3 linked regions of the Saccharomyces cerevisiae S288C genome follow. The protein of the gene in region 1 binds, or shares a complex with, the protein of each later gene. Each region holds a gene or a part of one and is shown in the gene's direction. Other genes may lie near its edges.

Region 1 (6,374 bases):
TCAAAAACTCTTTGGTTCTTGTGTGCCAGAGGTCTGATCCCGTAAAGTTGTAAAGGTAGGCAGAGCCAGCCAACAGCAAACCTTGATTATATGTCCATTGATATGAGGTCACTTTGGTGCAATTATCATCAATGCTGACACCATCGTAAACATACTTATAGGTACCATTAGAAATTAAGTTCACACCGACCATCCACTCGTAAACTTTTTCGGCCCAGTCAACATATGTTTGATTACCTGTATATCTTGCTAATCTTGCAGCTATGTGAAACAAGGCACCGTTAGAAACGGTGTTCTTGTAATCGTAACCAGAGTTCCAAACGAAAATTTGCCACCTCAAACCACCACCACAGGAATCGGCATCCCAACGCAAAGCCATGGTATTGAAAACAGCCTGTGCTAAATATAGCCATTGAGGCTCATTCTCGGGAGGATTAGTAAAGTTTCTCTCCGCGGCAGTCATAGCAGCAATACCCCAAAAGGCTTGGTCATCATTACCTTCAGTGGTAGATTGATTTAGCGGAATATAGTCATTATCATCACCAGCTTGATGTATCATTGCTGCTATAATTTCATCATTATAGGTGTCGTTATCCATGAAAAACCAGTAATCTAGCATACAGCCCCAGGCACCACCGGCTTCCCACCAATAGTACGGATCTGAAAACATACCGACCGTCTTACCATACTGATTACCAGTGTAATAATCCATTAAACCGTAGGCAATTAGTGAAGTAGCATTTTGCAAAGATTCGTAGTTGTCTAGATCCAATTCGACGGCATTTGTAAATCTTGTTGCGAAGAGTACACCCAGTAACCCTATCACTTTATTTACTAGCATTTTTATGTGTTCGTTTTTAAAACAGACTGAAAAGAAAGAAAGCTCAGAAAAAAAGTGGTGTGTATTTTGTTGTATCCACTATTATATGTCCTGGAAAGGTTTCCCTAGCGTTTTGACCCTTTCGTATCTTGTAATTTAAGCCTCTTTTTACCAAAAATCCTCCCGTTCGCACACCTATTAAGCTGCTTATAAAATATGAGTATCAACACAGTAACAGTGAATATATAATAGATGAGCCCATTATACAAAGAGTACCTATGATCATCATGAAATCCGAGCTTTATTTCCATCTGCCAGTTTTCTTTCTGGATGTACGAAATTAAATCGCGCCTCGAACGGGTGCAAAACCGGGTGACGGGACACCGCTACGAATATAGTACGATACACTTATACATATATGGAAGCATTTATAGCGTATATTCATCGTACGGTACATTCTTTAAATAAATGATTGAATTTTTCTGAACCAACAGTTATAAGCTGAGATCCAGTGCGTTCATGAAACGGAACATCTTACATCATCAAGAGCCCAGAAGCACGGCGTAGGATTGTTTCCGCTGCTACAGACAGACATGGAAACACTGTTTTTATCAGGCCAAAGGTGATACGACAGGTCTCTTCTTGTTTCAATATTGCCTTACATATCTGCTGCTCACTCTATTTGCTTTTTCCTGCTCATTTATAGTTAACTTGATTTGAAATTACGCGTCGCGGGGAATCGCGTAAAACTCGATATTAAATCCTGTGATTTTGCAAAAGTAAATTTTTTACTATCTACATCTCTCCAATTTGCACAACTTTGACAGGACTGATAACTACCCAGGTGGAGCAACCAGTGACAGCAGGTAAAGCACAATAAGGAGAAGAAATGTTCAGGCAGTCAAAAAGAAGAATTGCCTCAAGGAAGAATTTTAGTTCATACGATGATATTGTCAAAAGCGAATTGGACGTAGGCAACACAAATGCAGCTAACCAGATCATCTTAAGTTCAAGTTCATCTGAAGAAGAGAAAAAACTTTACGCTAGGCTGTATGAGTCTAAATTATCATTTTACGATTTACCACCACAGGGAGAAATAACGTTGGAACAATTTGAGATCTGGGCAATCGATCGTCTCAAAATTCTGTTAGAGATCGAATCTTGCCTTTCAAGAAACAAATCGATCAAAGAAATTGAAACCATTATCAAGCCGCAGTTCCAAAAACTACTGCCTTTCAACACAGAGAGTTTAGAAGACAGAAAAAAGGATTACTACTCTCATTTCATTTTAAGATTGTGCTTTTGTCGTTCAAAAGAACTGCGGGAAAAATTCGTCAGGGCTGAAACGTTTTTGTTCAAAATTAGATTTAACATGCTAACCTCCACCGATCAAACAAAATTTGTTCAATCATTGGACTTACCCTTACTACAGTTTATCTCAAATGAAGAAAAGGCCGAATTATCTCATCAGTTGTATCAAACAGTTTCTGCGTCTCTACAGTTCCAATTGAATTTAAACGAGGAACATCAAAGAAAACAGTATTTCCAACAGGAAAAATTCATAAAATTACCTTTCGAAAATGTGATAGAACTGGTAGGAAACCGTTTAGTGTTTTTGAAGGACGGGTACGCATATTTACCACAATTCCAGCAATTGAATTTACTTTCTAATGAGTTTGCTAGCAAATTGAACCAGGAGTTAATAAAAACGTACCAGTACTTACCAAGACTGAATGAGGATGACCGGTTGTTACCAATTCTAAATCATCTTTCGTCGGGGTACACTATCGCGGATTTCAACCAGCAAAAGGCAAACCAATTCAGTGAGAACGTAGATGATGAGATTAATGCGCAAAGTGTCTGGTCTGAAGAGATTAGCTCAAACTATCCGCTATGTATCAAAAACCTGATGGAGGGTCTTAAAAAGAACCATCATTTGAGGTATTATGGGAGACAACAACTGAGTCTGTTTTTGAAAGGTATCGGCCTGAGCGCTGATGAAGCGTTAAAATTTTGGTCTGAGGCATTTACAAGAAATGGGAACATGACAATGGAGAAGTTCAATAAAGAATACCGTTACAGCTTCAGGCATAATTACGGTCTTGAAGGTAACAGAATCAACTACAAACCATGGGACTGTCACACTATCCTTTCCAAGCCCAGACCTGGGCGCGGAGATTATCATGGATGCCCTTTCCGTGATTGGAGTCACGAGAGACTATCTGCAGAATTGCGCTCTATGAAGTTGACCCAAGCGCAGATCATCAGTGTTCTGGATTCCTGCCAGAAAGGTGAATACACAATTGCTTGCACTAAAGTGTTTGAAATGACACACAACTCTGCATCAGCGGATTTGGAAATTGGCGAGCAAACGCATATCGCGCATCCTAACCTATACTTCGAAAGATCAAGGCAACTGCAAAAGAAACAGCAGAAGCTGGAAAAGGAAAAACTATTCAATAATGGTAATCATTAGTGCAGAAAGGGAAAAGGAAAAAAGCGAAGAGATAACTAAAAAGGATTAATAGTATACGTAATTTAGTCTACTGTAAGTATGGTCAAAAATTTTCTTTAGTGAGAAAAAAAAAAAAAAAGAGAAACGATAAACGCTGTACAATACCAGTGACTGCACTGCTCCGAAAACGTCCGAGATATGTATATTGTCCGAATTTTTTCATACTTTAATAGCTGGCCAGAGAAACCTTATAATTTTGTGGCTGCAAGCTATCGCGCTGTTCCTCTGTGACAGGCAACACAGAACAACTAACCGCCTGTCTTTTATGCCTGTACACTTCATTAAAATTTACCGTTTTCTTCCATTACAAGCGGGGACACTTTCCGTTTAAACCTGCAATATGTTGCAGGGCCTATCCACGCCAATTTACTGTGGCAGAAGTTACTGCAGTGGAAGAACTACCTTTTCCAGCATAGCCTCCGCCACCAAAAAATGCAGGTGCTGCGTTTTCTGGATACGTGGCTGGCCTTTAAAACGCATGGGAGGGACAGTATCTCACCGATTTGGTAATGCCGTGATGCAACCTCGAGGATCCGGTTTTCAAGAGCGGAAGTAAAAAACCGGGAAGATCTAATATTTCCTTATGCAGGTATTCTGTGACTAAAAAGTATAGAAGACTATTTTGCACCGCTCCCTGATTAGACTTCGTGCGATATTATTGATGGATATCGTCTTTATCTTTCCGTGGACCTAAAACGGCACCCCTTCGTCTAGGATAAACGCGGTCGGCTCTTTCGAAGACTAAAAAAGCAGCCACAATAACGTTACATGCAAAATCAGCCCACTCGAAGTTAGATACTGCGTAGACGGATTTGCACGATGCGATGATAAATATTAGGGACAGTGCGTGCCCACCCATAAGTTGCTGTAGAGCTTACAAATTGTAAAGACTAATTCCAATCGCACGCCCACCCCTCACGGGAATAAGTTAGAATGTTGCGGAATGAACGATAACTTCATATTAGGTAAAAGGGAAGAATGCAACGCTGCGGTCTACGGGCTTTTTTCTGCGAGACCAATTTTCTTCTTTTGTTTTTTTATTTCGATATTTAGTTTTCATGCAAACGGGTATTATTCTTGACAGGCCATTATGTAAGAGTGTGGAAACATAATTCTTGCACATACGACGTTTTCTTAACTGTTCCTGTTTCAAGTTACGGAAACGCCTGTGGCCCAGGTAGCGTAGGCAAAATCAAGCTCAGAATGGGTTACGTAATTATGACGTTTTCGAGTGCGAGGATGTCAGAAAGGAGAGCCAGAATTATATATATATGGATGCATCTCTCTGCATATAAAATTAATTTCCCTTTCGTACAGTTCCCTACTTTTTTTTCCCTCTTTCGTTTGCAAAAGAAGGCGGCCATACTCATTAAAAACCCCTCCCCATTTTTCCTTTTTTTTTTGTTTCCATATAGGAAGAACTCTACAGCTCGAACAATACATCAAATCAATCAAGCAGTCGCTCTCGTTCTATTGTGTGTTTCTCACCACCTTACATATCTCCCCTCAGTTCCCAGCCTATAACTTTGTGGTTCTCTTCTTTTCAACTTCTTCTTCTTGACATTATACTTTAATAAGACCATTACTTCTTTTTCTTTGCTGGAATTCATAATTCATTAAGCAGAAAATATGTACCATGTTCCTGAAATGAGGCTACATTACCCCCTGGTGAACACTCAATCTAACGCCGCAATAACACCCACCAGAAGTTACGACAATACCCTTCCTTCGTTTAACGAGCTATCACACCAGAGTACAATCAATCTTCCATTCGTCCAACGCGAAACTCCAAACGCATATGCTAATGTTGCCCAATTAGCTACGTCGCCAACTCAGGCTAAATCAGGGTATTATTGTCGCTATTATGCTGTGCCTTTTCCCACATATCCACAACAACCACAATCTCCATATCAACAAGCTGTACTTCCTTATGCCACCATTCCCAACAGCAATTTCCAACCATCTTCTTTCCCTGTGATGGCAGTGATGCCTCCAGAGGTTCAATTTGATGGATCATTCTTGAACACCTTACATCCTCACACAGAGTTGCCTCCAATCATTCAAAACACTAATGATACTAGCGTCGCACGTCCAAATAACCTTAAATCAATAGCAGCAGCGTCACCAACAGTGACAGCAACAACAAGAACACCTGGCGTCAGTTCAACGTCAGTTCTCAAACCACGCGTTATAACTACGATGTGGGAAGATGAGAATACTATCTGCTACCAAGTAGAGGCGAACGGTATATCAGTCGTGCGTAGGGCTGACAACAACATGATTAACGGCACCAAGTTGTTGAATGTCACGAAGATGACAAGGGGGAGAAGGGATGGAATATTAAGATCCGAGAAGGTTAGGGAAGTCGTGAAGATTGGCTCCATGCACCTCAAGGGTGTTTGGATTCCTTTCGAAAGGGCTTATATCCTGGCTCAACGTGAACAGATTCTAGATCATCTGTACCCGCTCTTCGTCAAAGATATAGAATCCATTGTTGATGCCAGAAAGCCCAGCAACAAGGCATCTTTGACCCCCAAATCTAGCCCTGCCCCCATCAAGCAAGAACCATCTGATAATAAACACGAAATTGCTACTGAAATTAAGCCGAAGAGTATTGATGCTTTATCGAATGGAGCATCTACTCAGGGTGCTGGCGAACTGCCCCACTTAAAAATCAACCATATCGATACTGAGGCCCAAACAAGTAGAGCAAAAAATGAATTATCATAAGCACATAACATAATCCGTTAACTCTTTGCTCTATGAACAAGAACCGAAGTTCTAGAAAGGCTGATAGGATTCGTACAATCATTTTTACGGTCGAACTTCTGTAGTTACTCGATATATAAATATAAATAACGGACATAAAAAAAAAAATTGTAACATTATAAATCATAAAATCATAATCATATCTATTTCTAACTTCTGACTATTGCGCAATTCGTTAGAGTCTTTCCACCACGTCGATTGGACAAATCTTTATCTGTCTACTTCTAATATACTGTACATCATACCTGTCTTTTTATGCTGCTATTGTGG
Region 2 (5,685 bases), on another chromosome or scaffold:
GGTGTAAAAATCCTCTTCAGGAATATCCTTGTGCGGAGATATAATAGTGCTTCCCCCATTAGCTTGAGATGCTAACATAGACAATCTTCTACCTCTCTGACTTCCGATTGATTTTTTCCTTTCCCTTGTTCGTTGAATGTAGTGTGGTTGCTGAAGTTGTTGTTGATGGAATGATCCGTACGGAAACAATTGCGGAGCTGGCAGCAATTGTTGTGATGAAGATATATTTTGGGGAGTAGTCATATCGGGACCGCCTGCAGCAGTGGGTTGCGAATAAAAGGGCTGTAATGAGGAGTTGGGCATAATCGAATGCATTGGTGATCCAGGATATGGTATCATTGCAGGAGTTGGTGCATTCATCGGATGGTAGTAATAGTAATAAGGCATATATGGAGCGGGCATTGCACTTGCATTAACATTCGCAGTCGCATTTGCAGTCGCATTTGCAGTCGCATTTGCAGTCGCATCTCCACTATGATTGTCGTCAGCAATTGGCGCAGAAGAATTGAAATTCTCCACTCTCTTGGCCTTTTTTATATCTTGCAGGTTATCCAGCCTTTCGCCCAGAGTAGGGAACCCCTGGATATGTTTATTCTTGTGTCGTTTGAATTTCAAATCGGGGCTCAAATTCGACACGGATTGTTTATTCTCAAAATATTCGGTCTCCTCCTCATCTTTCTGGGTGGGCTCGTTGCTTTGTAGAGTAGCCTTGGAGTCGGATTCCAATATTGGGATAGTTTCCATCCGCAATGGGTATACTTGTTTGTGTGTTCTTTGATGCAGCATCGGCGGCGTACCGGAGACCGTTTGTGTGGGTTCCAGACTCATCCTCTACCTAAATAAAGAAAAATTTGTGTGTGGTACAATAGAAGAGGCCCGGTTTCACAACTCTGCCTGGTACTTTGTGCTTTTATCAATTGGCGGTTCTTTTGATGTTTATTTTGATTTGTTTATCATTTGTGAATTTTTGCTTTTACTAGAAATATATATCATTTTAAACGAAGCCACATATAAACGCTGAACTACACTGTAATTCATCATATAGTAAGCTGTCTTATATACTAAATTATCACTTCCAAAATGTAATAAACGTCTTTTGGCAATGGGGTACTCTGTGGTTTGCCCTTTGTATTATTTAAGCAATTGAAGTGAGGAATAAGCGGCCGTTCTGCAGTATGTCTTTTCGGGAGACTCTTTCTGCTACAGATTTTTGTAGATTCTATATCTACTCCATATTGATACATGCCTTGATATTATTTGTCCGTTGACGACCATCTATAACGCCGGGTTGTTTGGATATAAACATTTTGGTTTGGTTCTGCGCTCTTGACTTTGATGTGCCCCTATGGCAGCTCTTCTCGGTATATACGTGCTGCTATGAATAGAGCGTTAAGCCAGTCATAGTGTTTTAGTTTCACTCTTGCTGAACTCAACTTTCAAAGGCTTACCAAAGAATCGCTCGCCGTTTAATGAAATCTGGGCCAGACTGGCCTGGTCGATGGTTCTCATGGTGATAAAGGCTTGGCCCCGCTGTTTCTTGAAATTCATGCTAACCTTCAGTACCTCTCCAAACGTAGCAAAGAGCAAAAAAAGGTTTACTCGCAGTCGTTGCATATTAATTTTTTCATTAAGCTGGCTCACGTACAGCGTATTTTTAGCTTCCGTTACTGGTTCAGCCACAGTGTGATGAGTATCGCGATCAATCCTCTGCTTTTTCCTTGCTGGTTCAACCATTACTATATCCTACGTGTGAATGATGCGTGAGTTTCGAAACAGTTGCTCGGTCAGTGCCCTTTGCCACTTTTACCTATTGTTTTCTTTCAGTTGAAAAGTTTCATAACGCCAAAAAGATAAAAAATTAATCAAAAATACTTTGAAGCTGAAGAGAAAAGCGTGCCATAATACTAGCAAAAATTAGTTTTAGCAACTCAAAAAACTGTTTTATAAACATCATGACCAATTCAGTAAAGACTAATGGGCCAAGCTCCTCAGACATGGAGTACTACTATAAGTCGCTCTATCCATTCAAACACATTTTCAACTGGCTGAATCATTCGCCCAAACCTTCTAGGGATATGATTAACAGAGAATTCGCTATGGCGTTCAGGTCAGGTGCTTACAAAAGGTATAATTCTTTTAACTCTGTGCAAGATTTCAAAGCACAAATAGAAAAAGCCAACCCAGACAGATTTGAAATCGGTGCCATATATAACAAACCGCCAAGAGAACGTGATACTCTATTAAAAAGCGAATTGAAAGCTTTAGAGAAGGAGTTGGTGTTTGATATTGATATGGATGATTACGATGCCTTCAGAACGTGTTGCTCCGGAGCCCAAGTTTGCTCTAAGTGCTGGAAATTTATATCTTTGGCAATGAAAATTACGAACACGGCCCTAAGAGAGGATTTTGGTTATAAGGACTTCATCTGGGTATTTTCAGGTAGACGTGGTGCTCATTGTTGGGTAAGCGACAAACGGGCACGGGCTTTGACGGATGTACAACGAAGAAACGTTTTAGATTATGTCAACGTGATTAGAGACAGAAATACTGACAAGCGATTGGCTTTGAAGAGGCCTTATCACCCTCATCTTGCTCGTTCTTTGGAGCAATTGAAACCTTTCTTTGTCAGCATTATGCTCGAAGAGCAAAATCCTTGGGAAGATGACCAACATGCTATCCAAACTTTATTGCCTGCATTATATGATAAACAATTGATTGATTCATTAAAGAAGTATTGGCTGGACAATCCAAGGAGGTCAAGCAAAGAGAAGTGGAATGATATAGATCAGATAGCTACATCGCTCTTCAAAGGCCCCAAGCAAGACTCTCACATAATTAAGTTACGTGAATGTAAGGAAGATCTCGTATTGATGACTCTTTATCCGAAGCTGGATGTGGAAGTTACAAAGCAAACAATTCATTTGTTAAAGGCCCCTTTTTGTATTCATCCTGCTACGGGGAATGTCTGTGTGCCTATTGATGAATCCTTTGCACCTGAAAAAGCACCTAAGCTAATTGATCTTCAAACAGAAATGGAGAAAAATAATGATGTTTCATTAACAGCTTTACAACCTTTTATCAATCAGTTCCAAGCATATGTGAGTTCTCTTTTGAAAAATGAACTGGGTTCAGTGAAAAGAGAACGTGAAGATGATGATGAACCGGCTTCTTTAGATTTCTGATGGTGAAATCTTTTTGTAACAATAAAAAGGGTGTATATATATATATATGACTACTATAGCTTTTGGTTCAATTTTTGTTTAGCTGATAACGCATTCCGCTGGTAAGTCATTCGAAGTGTCACTTCCAGGGGTGTTGGGCCTTGACTTCGATTTTGCGCAAATTTCAATGAACTGATGGCCAGGCTCGTGAAACCATTCAAGAACCTGGTAGTCAGTGTTATAGGTATAATGACCTGATGATGAACGAATTGACAACCGGCTTGGTGTAAAATGGTGCCGTGGTATAAAAATATATGTAGGGACAGTTATCTGTTCAGGTGTCGTTTTACCAACTAATTTCAAAAGGTAGGATTTATTACATAAGTTAAACTCAGCAAACTCAAATCTTCCGTGAATTTGTATGGGGAATGGTCTCATTATAGCATCAAGAGCTCTGAACCCTGACAAGTCGCTCTTTAAAGTGCACGAGGGACTATCCAAATCTAAATGATTATCTGGTTTTATGAAACTTGGTGGTTGTGAAGAACCCGATTTAGATGTAGAAGTGGATACCGAAGCCACAGTAGAGGCTGGAGATGGCTCAGGAGTAGGAGTTTTTGCTCGGGTATCGTGATAGAGTGGTTTGTCATCCGGGGACCAAATCGAAAAATCTTCATTGTTCCAATTGTCACCCCATATATGTGAATTAATACTGCAATAACACCATAAGGTGTACGAAAGATTACTTCCTTCTAATGCAAATCCAAGAGCATCCAATGCAGCGGTCTGTGAAGAATAGTCATTTGTAATATATGCTTTCTTGTCGTCCATGTCAAATGGAATACCAATTTCGGTGAAGAATACAGGTACTTTTTTTCCAAGCATGGATTTAGCGTCCTTTTGCATTTCTGATAATTGCTTCCTAATGCATTTCCGTATATTGTTTTCGCCAAGCACTACAGCAAAGGCAGGATTTGAGTATTTTTTGTTTACTAGTCCATAGGTGTCTATGCCAATTCGTTTATTCCATGTCTTATACATTAGTGTCATACCATCATAAAAATGACATGCACAAATCGTCCTATTGTCCAATATTTTAGAATTTTGTAAATTGGGTGGTGGCTTCATTACCGGCGGTTGGATTATAATAAACAATTCTTGATCGAATTCCCTAAACTTGTTATAAATTCCAGTGTAATAGTCAACAAAATGATTGTTTATAAATACCGTTGCATCAGGTTGGCTAAAGTAATTTGGTTTGAGTAAAACAGGGCGTTTACCATTCTGAATCTCCCAAACACCATGGAGTTTCCAAATGCAAGTGTCTGGTTTCCATTCAGGGTTCCTTTCCCAATTATACTTCGCATCTATCGCATCTCTTTCCTCTGCACTCAGCCAAGCTTTTTTGCCTTTGGGATTGATTGTGCACGGTTTTCCCTTAGAAAATCCAAAAAATGTCCTTTTATATTGATCTATTGTGCACTCAATACCTTCACCCAGCATAAAGCTTTGAAATGCCGTTGGCGTTTTGCCCAATTTCAAATTTCTCTCTTTCGGAATCACATCGAGATTTGTTTCACCAATGTAACCACAGTTTGGCTCGTTCATAGACTCTAATCCAATAATGCAGTTGCTCTCAAACAACTCAGGAGCCTTTTCTTTAATTCTTGCGCACAGTGTCATGATTGCATCATTAAACCTTCCTTGCAAGTAATCCTGTATGTTTTCTCCATTAATTGTGCACTTAGGAGCATATTGTTTCCCACCAAAGAATAACGTAAACATTGTTTGACACGCCAGTTTGAAGTAGTTTGTAGGCCAAACCATCTTAGGGTAGGACTCTTCATCTTTGCCAACTTCCCTGCCCGTTTTGGGGTCAATATAATAATTATGTAAGATTGCAGCATCGGTGGCCAGGAAGTTTGCAGGTTGAAACCCTGCACAGTATAAGGTCCATAGCGGTGCTCCAGATCCACCGCTAAACCTAGACCAGACGTCTTGGTGAGGGTCCAAATAAATGTACATACCTTGTTGTACGCTGTTAATCCTGGTTAGTACCTCGACGATATAATCCATATAGTCAAAATCGTACTGTCCTGGACCAGCATGTTCAAGAGATTCCCAGGTGAAGGGTAAACGAATGGTATTGTAACCCAGTGATTTCAATCTGATGATATGCTGTTCGATATCATCAAGAACTAAGGGGTGATTGATGAAACTGACTTTATCAGCATCCTCGAAAAACGTGTCATTTTCTATGGGAGCGTGGGTGGATAGGAATGGCTTTGCAGGGATTTTAACTGACGGATCCAAATTGACACCACGCAATTGGATCTCGTTGCCATCTTTATCGCAAAACTGACCGTCTGCAGAAATGTGTATTTTGGCAGGCATATGATCTGTTCTTATTAAATTCAAACAATTTAGGTACGAAAGAAAAAGAAATAAATAAATAAAAAAAGAGAAGAAAGGTTAAGAAAATAACTGTCAGTAGAATTATTGCGAAATATAGAATTAATATTAA
Region 3 (8,513 bases), on another chromosome or scaffold:
GGGAAGCCCTTCTCAGTTTCCCGCTGACGCAACTAATATGACATCAATCGACCATGGCGGCTTCACAAATGTTGACATTACATCAACTGAGAACAATACTACCGGTGACAATGGAGTGGATGCGCTATCAAATCTACTACATAGGACAACACACACACCGAACCGCTCCTCCCCCCTAAGCAATGTCACTTCTGCTCAAAATTCCTCTTCACAACAACGAAAACATTCGGAAAGCAAAGTCGATAGTAACAGCGATAATAACAGCTCCAACAAAGCCCCCAATATAACTGTTCCTGACTATTCAATTATACCAACCTCTGTTTTAGTAACTCTATTACCGAGGGTCAACGTGCCCAACGGCGCATATAACTCGTTGATCAGCGCGGGATTTGACAATGATCAAATAGATGCTATAGCCGCAATAATGGCGTATCATCATCAAAAAAAGATTAGGGAAAATAACAGTAATAATAATAAAAACATCAACACCAATGACAGTCAAGAGGCACCCATTCTAAAAAACATCAACGAACTTTTAAGTGTCTTAATACCACCCTCTCCGGCTGAAACTGCTGCGCCAACTACCTTATCAACGTCGCCTTCGTTCAATGAGCACGGTGTAGTAGCAGAGGCTTCTTTTCTAAGCTCCATTTTGGAACTGGGCATAAAGCATCCAAAAAGTAATAATATTCACAATCAACGACAACCTTCACGAAACGATCATAAAATATCAAGAGAGAGTGACGGTAACAATGGAAACGATAATGTCCATCATAATAACGCTGTTATTAAGTCAAGTACGACGCGTGGAGACGAAATTGCCAAGATACGATCCGAGCCAACTTTAAATGCAAGTTCTTCTGATCACAAGGAAAATAGTTTAAAAAGATCACACTCCGGAGATTTGAAAAATAAAAAAGTACCCGTCGACCGCAAGTATTCTGATAATGAAGACGATGAATATGACGATGCAGATTTACACGGCTTTGAAAAGAAGCAACTGATCAAGAAAGAGTTAGGGGACGACGATGAAGATTTATTGATACAGTCGAAAAAATCTCATCAAAAAAAAAAACTAAAGGAAAAGGAGTTAGAATCATCGATACATGAACTGACCGAAATTGCAGCATCCTTACAAAAACGGATACATACGTTAGAAACGGAAAACAAGCTTTTAAAGAATTTAGTTCTGAGTAGCGGTGAAACGGAAGGAATAAAAAAAGCTGAAAGCTTAAAGAAGCAAATTTTTGAGAAGGTTCAGAAAGAATAAAATAACAGACTATACAGTTTAATTATATATATATATATATATACGTGCATTTTTCTTAAAGAAATATAACTTTTTTCTTGTACTGCCTGCAATCTCTATTCTTCATTCATCACACATCTATTCAAACGCGTTAAAATTTTTTTGTTAGCCTATAAGTAAAACGCGTCGCGTGTATCCAATTTTACTGAATTAAATTCTTTACTCATTGGATGATATATATCTTCTTGGTCTAGACAACGAACACATACCAATTCAGACTCACGAGAAAAAAAACTGTCTTCACTCTGCTATTAGAAACCAAATAGTATCAAGGCATAAAATAAACAGTGGAAAATGTCTTCTAAAAGTGAAAAATTAGAAAAATTGAGAAAGCTGCAAGCCGCTCGAAATGGTACATCCATCGATGATTACGAAGGTGACGAATCAGATGGTGACAGAATATACGACGAAATCGACGAAAAAGAATACAGGGCCAGAAAGCGCCAGGAATTGCTGCATGACGATTTTGTTGTAGATGACGATGGTGTAGGCTACGTCGATCGTGGTGTCGAAGAAGATTGGAGGGAAGTTGATAACAGTTCAAGTGATGAAGACACTGGAAACCTTGCTAGCAAGGATTCTAAAAGGAAGAAGAATATAAAAAGGGAGAAAGACCACCAGATTACAGATATGCTGCGAACTCAACATTCCAAATCAACACTGCTAGCACATGCAAAAAAATCCCAAAAAAAAAGTATCCCCATCGATAATTTTGATGACATTCTTGGTGAGTTTGAATCTGGTGAAGTAGAAAAACCCAATATTTTACTGCCATCCAAATTAAGGGAAAATTTAAATTCTTCGCCGACTAGTGAATTTAAATCGTCAATAAAGAGAGTTAACGGAAACGATGAGTCAAGTCATGATGCCGGTATTTCTAAAAAAGTCAAGATTGATCCAGATTCAAGTACTGATAAATATTTAGAAATCGAATCATCACCGTTAAAATTACAAAGCAGGAAACTGCGCTACGCAAATGATGTACAGGATTTATTGGATGATGTGGAAAATTCCCCAGTAGTAGCCACAAAGAGACAGAATGTACTTCAAGATACGTTACTAGCAAATCCACCATCCGCTCAAAGTTTGGCTGATGAAGAAGATGATGAAGATAGTGATGAAGATATTATTCTGAAAAGAAGAACTATGAGAAGTGTGACAACAACTAGACGCGTGAATATAGACTCAAGAAGTAACCCTTCAACTTCACCGTTTGTCACAGCACCCGGAACGCCAATCGGTATTAAAGGACTAACTCCAAGTAAATCTTTGCAGAGCAACACCGATGTTGCTACACTTGCGGTTAATGTCAAAAAGGAAGATGTGGTAGATCCGGAAACTGATACTTTCCAAATGTTTTGGTTGGATTACTGTGAAGTGAACAACACTTTGATTTTATTTGGTAAGGTTAAACTAAAGGATGATAATTGTGTGTCAGCCATGGTTCAAATCAACGGTCTCTGTAGAGAGCTATTTTTCCTTCCAAGAGAGGGTAAAACACCTACCGATATACACGAGGAAATAATTCCGTTACTGATGGATAAATATGGACTGGATAATATCCGCGCTAAACCTCAAAAAATGAAATATTCGTTTGAGCTTCCTGACATTCCATCTGAAAGTGATTATTTGAAAGTCTTACTTCCATACCAAACACCGAAGTCCAGTCGAGACACCATTCCATCGGATTTATCTAGCGATACCTTTTATCATGTTTTTGGTGGGAATTCCAATATTTTTGAAAGTTTTGTTATTCAAAATAGGATTATGGGACCATGCTGGTTAGATATAAAGGGAGCAGATTTCAATTCAATTCGTAATGCTTCTCACTGTGCGGTTGAAGTTTCGGTAGATAAGCCTCAGAATATCACGCCTACTACAACAAAGACAATGCCTAATCTGAGATGTCTATCTTTATCGATTCAGACGTTAATGAATCCCAAGGAAAATAAGCAAGAGATTGTTTCGATAACGTTATCAGCATATAGAAATATCTCGTTGGATTCACCGATACCTGAAAATATAAAACCAGACGACTTGTGTACTTTAGTAAGGCCGCCTCAGTCAACTAGTTTCCCATTAGGTTTAGCTGCACTGGCAAAACAGAAACTACCCGGTAGAGTCAGGTTGTTCAACAACGAAAAGGCCATGCTATCTTGTTTTTGTGCTATGTTAAAAGTGGAAGACCCAGATGTTATCATAGGCCATCGTTTGCAAAATGTCTACTTAGATGTTTTAGCTCATAGAATGCATGATCTCAACATTCCAACGTTCAGCTCTATTGGCCGTCGTTTAAGAAGGACTTGGCCTGAAAAATTCGGTAGAGGAAATTCGAATATGAACCATTTTTTTATTAGTGACATTTGCTCTGGTAGGCTGATATGTGATATCGCCAATGAAATGGGTCAATCATTAACACCCAAATGTCAAAGTTGGGATCTTTCAGAGATGTATCAAGTTACATGTGAAAAGGAGCATAAGCCGTTAGATATTGATTATCAAAATCCACAATACCAAAATGATGTAAATAGTATGACAATGGCCCTACAAGAGAATATTACTAATTGTATGATTTCTGCTGAGGTGTCTTATAGAATTCAATTATTAACCTTGACTAAACAGTTGACAAATTTGGCTGGTAATGCATGGGCCCAAACGCTAGGCGGTACAAGAGCTGGTAGAAATGAGTATATCTTACTACATGAATTTTCAAGAAATGGTTTTATTGTTCCTGACAAAGAAGGCAATAGAAGTAGAGCTCAGAAACAAAGACAAAATGAAGAAAATGCTGATGCACCAGTTAATTCTAAAAAGGCAAAATATCAGGGTGGTTTAGTTTTTGAACCTGAGAAAGGTCTTCATAAGAATTACGTTTTAGTCATGGACTTTAATTCTTTGTATCCATCTATTATCCAGGAATTTAATATATGTTTTACCACCGTTGATAGAAATAAGGAAGATATCGATGAGTTACCAAGCGTACCTCCTTCAGAGGTGGATCAGGGTGTTTTACCAAGGTTATTAGCTAATCTGGTGGATCGTCGACGTGAAGTTAAGAAGGTGATGAAAACTGAAACTGATCCCCATAAGCGAGTTCAATGTGATATTCGTCAACAAGCTCTAAAATTGACTGCCAATTCTATGTATGGTTGTTTGGGTTATGTTAACAGTAGATTTTACGCAAAGCCGCTCGCCATGTTAGTCACTAATAAGGGTCGTGAGATTTTAATGAATACAAGACAACTAGCTGAAAGTATGAATCTTCTTGTAGTTTATGGTGATACAGATTCGGTCATGATAGATACCGGTTGTGATAATTATGCGGATGCAATTAAAATTGGCTTGGGATTTAAAAGGCTAGTAAATGAGCGCTATAGATTATTGGAGATTGATATTGATAATGTTTTTAAGAAGTTACTATTACATGCCAAGAAAAAGTACGCTGCTTTGACTGTAAATTTGGACAAAAATGGTAATGGAACTACTGTTCTAGAAGTTAAAGGGTTGGACATGAAGCGTCGTGAATTTTGTCCACTTTCGAGGGACGTTTCTATACATGTTTTAAACACCATCCTGTCAGATAAGGACCCAGAAGAAGCATTGCAAGAAGTGTATGATTACTTAGAAGACATCAGAATAAAAGTGGAAACCAATAACATTAGAATTGATAAATATAAGATCAATATGAAGCTTTCAAAAGATCCCAAGGCCTACCCAGGTGGTAAAAACATGCCTGCAGTCCAAGTAGCTCTAAGAATGCGTAAGGCTGGTAGAGTTGTTAAAGCTGGCTCTGTCATCACTTTTGTGATCACAAAGCAGGATGAAATAGACAATGCAGCGGATACGCCGGCTCTTTCTGTGGCTGAACGTGCCCATGCATTGAATGAGGTAATGATTAAAAGTAACAATTTGATACCTGATCCACAATATTATCTCGAGAAACAAATATTCGCGCCGGTAGAAAGGTTGTTAGAAAGAATTGATAGCTTCAACGTGGTGCGTTTGAGTGAAGCGCTTGGTTTAGATAGTAAAAAGTATTTTAGAAGAGAGGGCGGTAATAACAATGGAGAAGATATTAATAATTTGCAACCCTTAGAAACAACAATTACAGACGTTGAAAGGTTTAAGGATACTGTAACATTAGAATTAAGTTGCCCATCATGCGATAAAAGGTTTCCATTTGGTGGTATTGTATCTTCAAATTACTATCGCGTGTCATATAATGGTTTACAGTGCAAGCATTGTGAGCAACTTTTTACTCCTCTTCAATTAACTAGCCAAATAGAGCATTCTATAAGGGCACACATTTCCTTATATTACGCAGGGTGGTTACAGTGTGATGACAGCACATGCGGTATAGTTACAAGACAAGTCTCCGTTTTTGGTAAGCGTTGTTTGAATGACGGCTGCACGGGTGTCATGAGATACAAATACAGTGACAAGCAATTGTACAATCAACTTTTATATTTCGATTCTTTATTCGATTGTGAAAAAAATAAAAAGCAAGAATTGAAGCCAATATATCTACCCGATGATCTCGACTACCCCAAGGAACAGCTGACAGAATCATCTATTAAGGCTTTAACAGAACAAAACAGAGAACTAATGGAAACCGGCCGGAGCGTTGTTCAAAAATATTTGAACGATTGTGGACGTCGCTACGTTGATATGACTAGCATATTTGATTTCATGCTAAATTAGGTAAGTATTTTGTATGTGTTGTGTGATCTCATGAATATTCTATATAGTAAGAAAAGAATACAACTGTACATACGCATCCTACTAGATACCTAATGTACAGACATCGGAAGGAGCGCTAGGAAGCTTTTATTATTGAAGGTTTTCAGCGATATTCTGAGAATGTTTTTTCGGCTCTGGTGATCAGTTCTCACATGCATCATCCTTTAATAAACCCATGCATTAAGATTCGCCTTATCAGCAAGATCAGATAAGCGAACAGCTTCATCAATGAAATAGAATGCTTAAATCTTGTGAAGCACTGTCATAAGCCAGTTTGATAAAAGCAATACCCACAATATAGTTGGATATCATTTACCTTGATCTGCTCTTGCTTTCGAGGTGACATAGCATTTTTAGCCATCTGATTCCTTAGGTTCAAAGGCACTCATCATTCCTCCTCTAAAACACATTTCAACGTCATTCATAATCTGGAATCAACATAACAATATCCTAGAACACATCATCAATGGTCACTAACAATGGAGATGGTGAGCACCTTGGGATCCGAAGAAACGGAAATTTAAGGCATCCTTCCAATAATATGAAAATTCCCAGAAGGGCTCAATCAACAGTTCTCAATTCAAACCCATTTTATAGTAGGAAGTATTCTATGTCTACCTTAACGCCGAGGGATATATGTCGAAGCGTTGATTCTAGAGTATTTGTGGATATGTCTTCTCCCAATTTTCAGACTCTGGAGGATCCCCACAGAGATGAGATTATAAACAGTGTACGGCTTAACTACTTGAACAGTAGCAAAAGAAGTTCCGTCTCTCATGGAAATGAAGCAATCCCTAGGGTTAATCCGACTAAGAATTCTTCAGCAAGTACCATAGCTGCAGCAAATGTTGATAGTGATGACGATGAGACTAACCTGAGTAGCGCTGGAGGCGACATAACGCATGATATTTACAAGTTGGTTAAAGCAGAGGATCCTAAACGGCTCAGACGCCCTCGGTCCATGGAAAATGTAACACCTAAAATTGAGCACCATACTAAATTGTCATCAGCAAGTGGTTTAAATGTCCCCGGTGGCTTCAGAAGGGAATTTATTGTCAACAAAAAAAGGCAAGAACATCAATTAAATGATTCCGCTAGCTCAGACTTCACTTCGCATGAAAGCGATTCGATTAACCAGTCATCTCCATCTTCTAACCAAGATATCGATAAGGTCCCCTTTTTAACAAGAAACTTTTTGGAATTTCTATACGTGTTTGGACATTTTGCTGGTGAATCCTTCGAGGATGATTTTATCCCTGATAGCTCAAACATGATGATACGCGGAGAAGATGAAAGGAGTGCATTGCTGTCTCGGCCTGACCATATGAAAGTATTACCTTCAGCCAAAGGTACGACTTCGACAAAGAAGGTTTTTTTGATATTGCTTAAATCTTTCATTGGAACTGGCGTTTTATTTTTACCTAATGCCTTTCATAATGGTGGTTTGTTTTTCTCAGTAAGTATGCTGGCCTTTTTTGGAATTTATTCATACTGGTGTTACTACATATTGGTGCAGGCCAAATCTTCATGCGGTGTATCCTCCTTTGGTGATATTGGTTTAAAACTGTATGGACCTTGGATGAGAATAATAATTCTTTTCTCCCTAGTAATAACTCAAGTTGGATTCTCTGGAGCTTATATGATATTTACTGCAAAAAATTTACAAGCTTTTCTTGATAACGTATTCCATGTGGGCGTCCTACCTTTATCTTACCTGATGGTCTTTCAAACGATCATTTTTATTCCACTTTCGTTTATTAGAAACATTTCGAAATTGTCACTACCATCTTTACTAGCAAATTTTTTCATCATGGCTGGTTTAGTCATTGTCATTATTTTTACAGCCAAAAGGTTGTTTTTTGACCTGATGGGGACCCCAGCAATGGGTGTCGTCTATGGCTTAAATGCAGACCGTTGGACGCTGTTTATCGGGACGGCAATATTTGCTTTCGAAGGAATCGGGTTAATTATTCCTGTTCAAGACTCAATGAGAAATCCTGAAAAATTTCCTTTAGTACTTGCTTTGGTGATTCTAACGGCAACCATACTTTTCATTTCCATAGCTACATTGGGATATTTGGCATACGGCTCAAATGTTCAAACGGTTATACTGTTGAACTTACCTCAAAGTAACATTTTTGTAAACTTAATCCAGCTGTTCTATTCCATCGCAATTATGTTGTCCACACCTTTGCAGTTGTTTCCAGCTATTAAAATTATTGAAAATAAGTTTTTTCCAAAGTTCACTAAAATATATGTCAAGCACGATGATCTAACAACAAGAGTCGAATTACGTCCTAATTCAGGAAAGCTGAACTGGAAAATTAAATGGCTGAAGAACTTTATTCGTTCTATAATCGTAATCATTGTTGTATCAATTGCTTACTTTGGGTCTGATAATTTAGACAAGTTCGTTTCAGTTATAGGATCCCTCGCCTGTATTCCTTTGGTATATATATACCCA

The links. The genes of interacting proteins can lie anywhere in the genome.
Region 2: the proteins of PRI2 (region 1) and PRI1 are in contact, whole or in part, in a cryo-EM structure (PDB 8FOC), measured with the Saccharomyces cerevisiae proteins. Residues at the interface, in NP_012879.1 of Saccharomyces cerevisiae: Gln194 (codon at 2,289), Gln197 (codon at 2,298), Thr198 (codon at 2,301), Ser200 (codon at 2,307), Ala201 (codon at 2,310), Phe205 (codon at 2,322), Pro228 (codon at 2,391), Phe229 (codon at 2,394), Glu230 (codon at 2,397), Ile233 (codon at 2,406), Val236 (codon at 2,415), Gly237 (codon at 2,418), Arg239 (codon at 2,424), Val241 (codon at 2,430), Phe242 (codon at 2,433), Leu243 (codon at 2,436), Lys244 (codon at 2,439), Asp245 (codon at 2,442), Gly246 (codon at 2,445), Tyr247 (codon at 2,448); in NP_012273.1 of Saccharomyces cerevisiae: Arg149 (codon at 2,397), Glu150 (codon at 2,400), Asp151 (codon at 2,403), Phe152 (codon at 2,406), Gly153 (codon at 2,409), Tyr154 (codon at 2,412), Arg175 (codon at 2,475), Leu179 (codon at 2,487), Gln183 (codon at 2,499), Asn186 (codon at 2,508), Val187 (codon at 2,511), Tyr190 (codon at 2,520), Arg195 (codon at 2,535), Lys206 (codon at 2,568), Pro208 (codon at 2,574), Tyr209 (codon at 2,577), His210 (codon at 2,580), Pro211 (codon at 2,583), Ala214 (codon at 2,592).
Region 3: the proteins of PRI2 (region 1) and POL1 are in contact, whole or in part, in a cryo-EM structure (PDB 8FOD), measured with the Saccharomyces cerevisiae proteins. Residues at the interface, in NP_012879.1 of Saccharomyces cerevisiae: Thr71 (codon at 1,920), Leu72 (codon at 1,923), Glu73 (codon at 1,926), Arg140 (codon at 2,127), Ser141 (codon at 2,130), Lys142 (codon at 2,133), Glu143 (codon at 2,136), Ile272 (codon at 2,523), Tyr275 (codon at 2,532), Gln276 (codon at 2,535), Arg280 (codon at 2,547), Asp285 (codon at 2,562), Arg286 (codon at 2,565), His349 (codon at 2,754), Arg351 (codon at 2,760), Tyr352 (codon at 2,763), Tyr353 (codon at 2,766), Arg355 (codon at 2,772), Glu389 (codon at 2,874), Lys390 (codon at 2,877), Lys393 (codon at 2,886), Glu394 (codon at 2,889), Tyr395 (codon at 2,892), Arg409 (codon at 2,934), Lys413 (codon at 2,946), Ser422 (codon at 2,973), Pro424 (codon at 2,979), Arg425 (codon at 2,982), Pro426 (codon at 2,985), Gly427 (codon at 2,988); in NP_014297.3 of Saccharomyces cerevisiae: Glu852 (codon at 4,157), Lys853 (codon at 4,160), Gly854 (codon at 4,163), Leu855 (codon at 4,166), His856 (codon at 4,169), Lys857 (codon at 4,172), Asn858 (codon at 4,175), Asp891 (codon at 4,274), Leu893 (codon at 4,280), Lys964 (codon at 4,493), Met968 (codon at 4,505), Asn972 (codon at 4,517), Arg975 (codon at 4,526), Met979 (codon at 4,538), Gln983 (codon at 4,550), Glu986 (codon at 4,559), Ser987 (codon at 4,562), Asn989 (codon at 4,568), Leu991 (codon at 4,574), Asp1003 (codon at 4,610), Pro1099 (codon at 4,898), Glu1100 (codon at 4,901), Leu1103 (codon at 4,910), Gln1104 (codon at 4,913), Tyr1107 (codon at 4,922), Glu1111 (codon at 4,934), Glu1227 (codon at 5,282), Glu1275 (codon at 5,426), Lys1365 (codon at 5,696), Asp1382 (codon at 5,747).

What each region holds. Positions count from the first base shown.
Region 1 is NC_001143.9:351,784-358,157, forward strand, and holds PRI2 (DNA primase subunit PRI2), read left to right. Parts: upstream 1-1,709; coding exon 1,710-3,296; downstream 3,297-6,374. Other genes in the region: DCW1 (putative mannan endo-1,6-alpha-mannosidase), read right to left, coding at 1-841; MMO1 (Mmo1p), read left to right, coding at 4,539-4,859; PHD1 (Phd1p), read left to right, coding at 4,965-6,065. UniProt on the Saccharomyces cerevisiae protein: DNA primase is the polymerase that synthesizes small RNA primers for the Okazaki fragments made during discontinuous DNA replication. In a complex with DNA polymerase alpha (DNA polymerase alpha:primase) constitutes a replicative polymerase.
Region 2 is NC_001141.2:370,574-376,258, reverse strand, and holds PRI1 (DNA primase subunit PRI1), read left to right. Parts: upstream 1-1,952; coding exon 1,953-3,182; downstream 3,183-5,685. Other genes in the region: MIND complex subunit DSN1, read right to left, coding at 1-828; U2 snRNP complex subunit MSL1, read right to left, coding at 1,399-1,734; EGH1 (hydrolase), read right to left, coding at 3,261-5,555. UniProt on the Saccharomyces cerevisiae protein: DNA primase is the polymerase that synthesizes small RNA primers for the Okazaki fragments made during discontinuous DNA replication. In a complex with DNA polymerase alpha (DNA polymerase alpha:primase) constitutes a replicative polymerase.
Region 3 is NC_001146.8:428,484-436,996, forward strand, and holds POL1 (DNA-directed DNA polymerase alpha catalytic subunit POL1), read left to right. Parts: upstream 1-1,603; coding exon 1,604-6,010; downstream 6,011-8,513. Other genes in the region: MET4 (Met4p), read left to right, coding at 1-1,270; AVT4 (Avt4p), read left to right, coding at 6,516-8,513. UniProt on the Saccharomyces cerevisiae protein: Catalytic component of DNA polymerase alpha, which in complex with DNA primase (DNA polymerase alpha:primase) constitutes a replicative polymerase. POL1 has a role in promoting telomere replication during interaction with CDC13.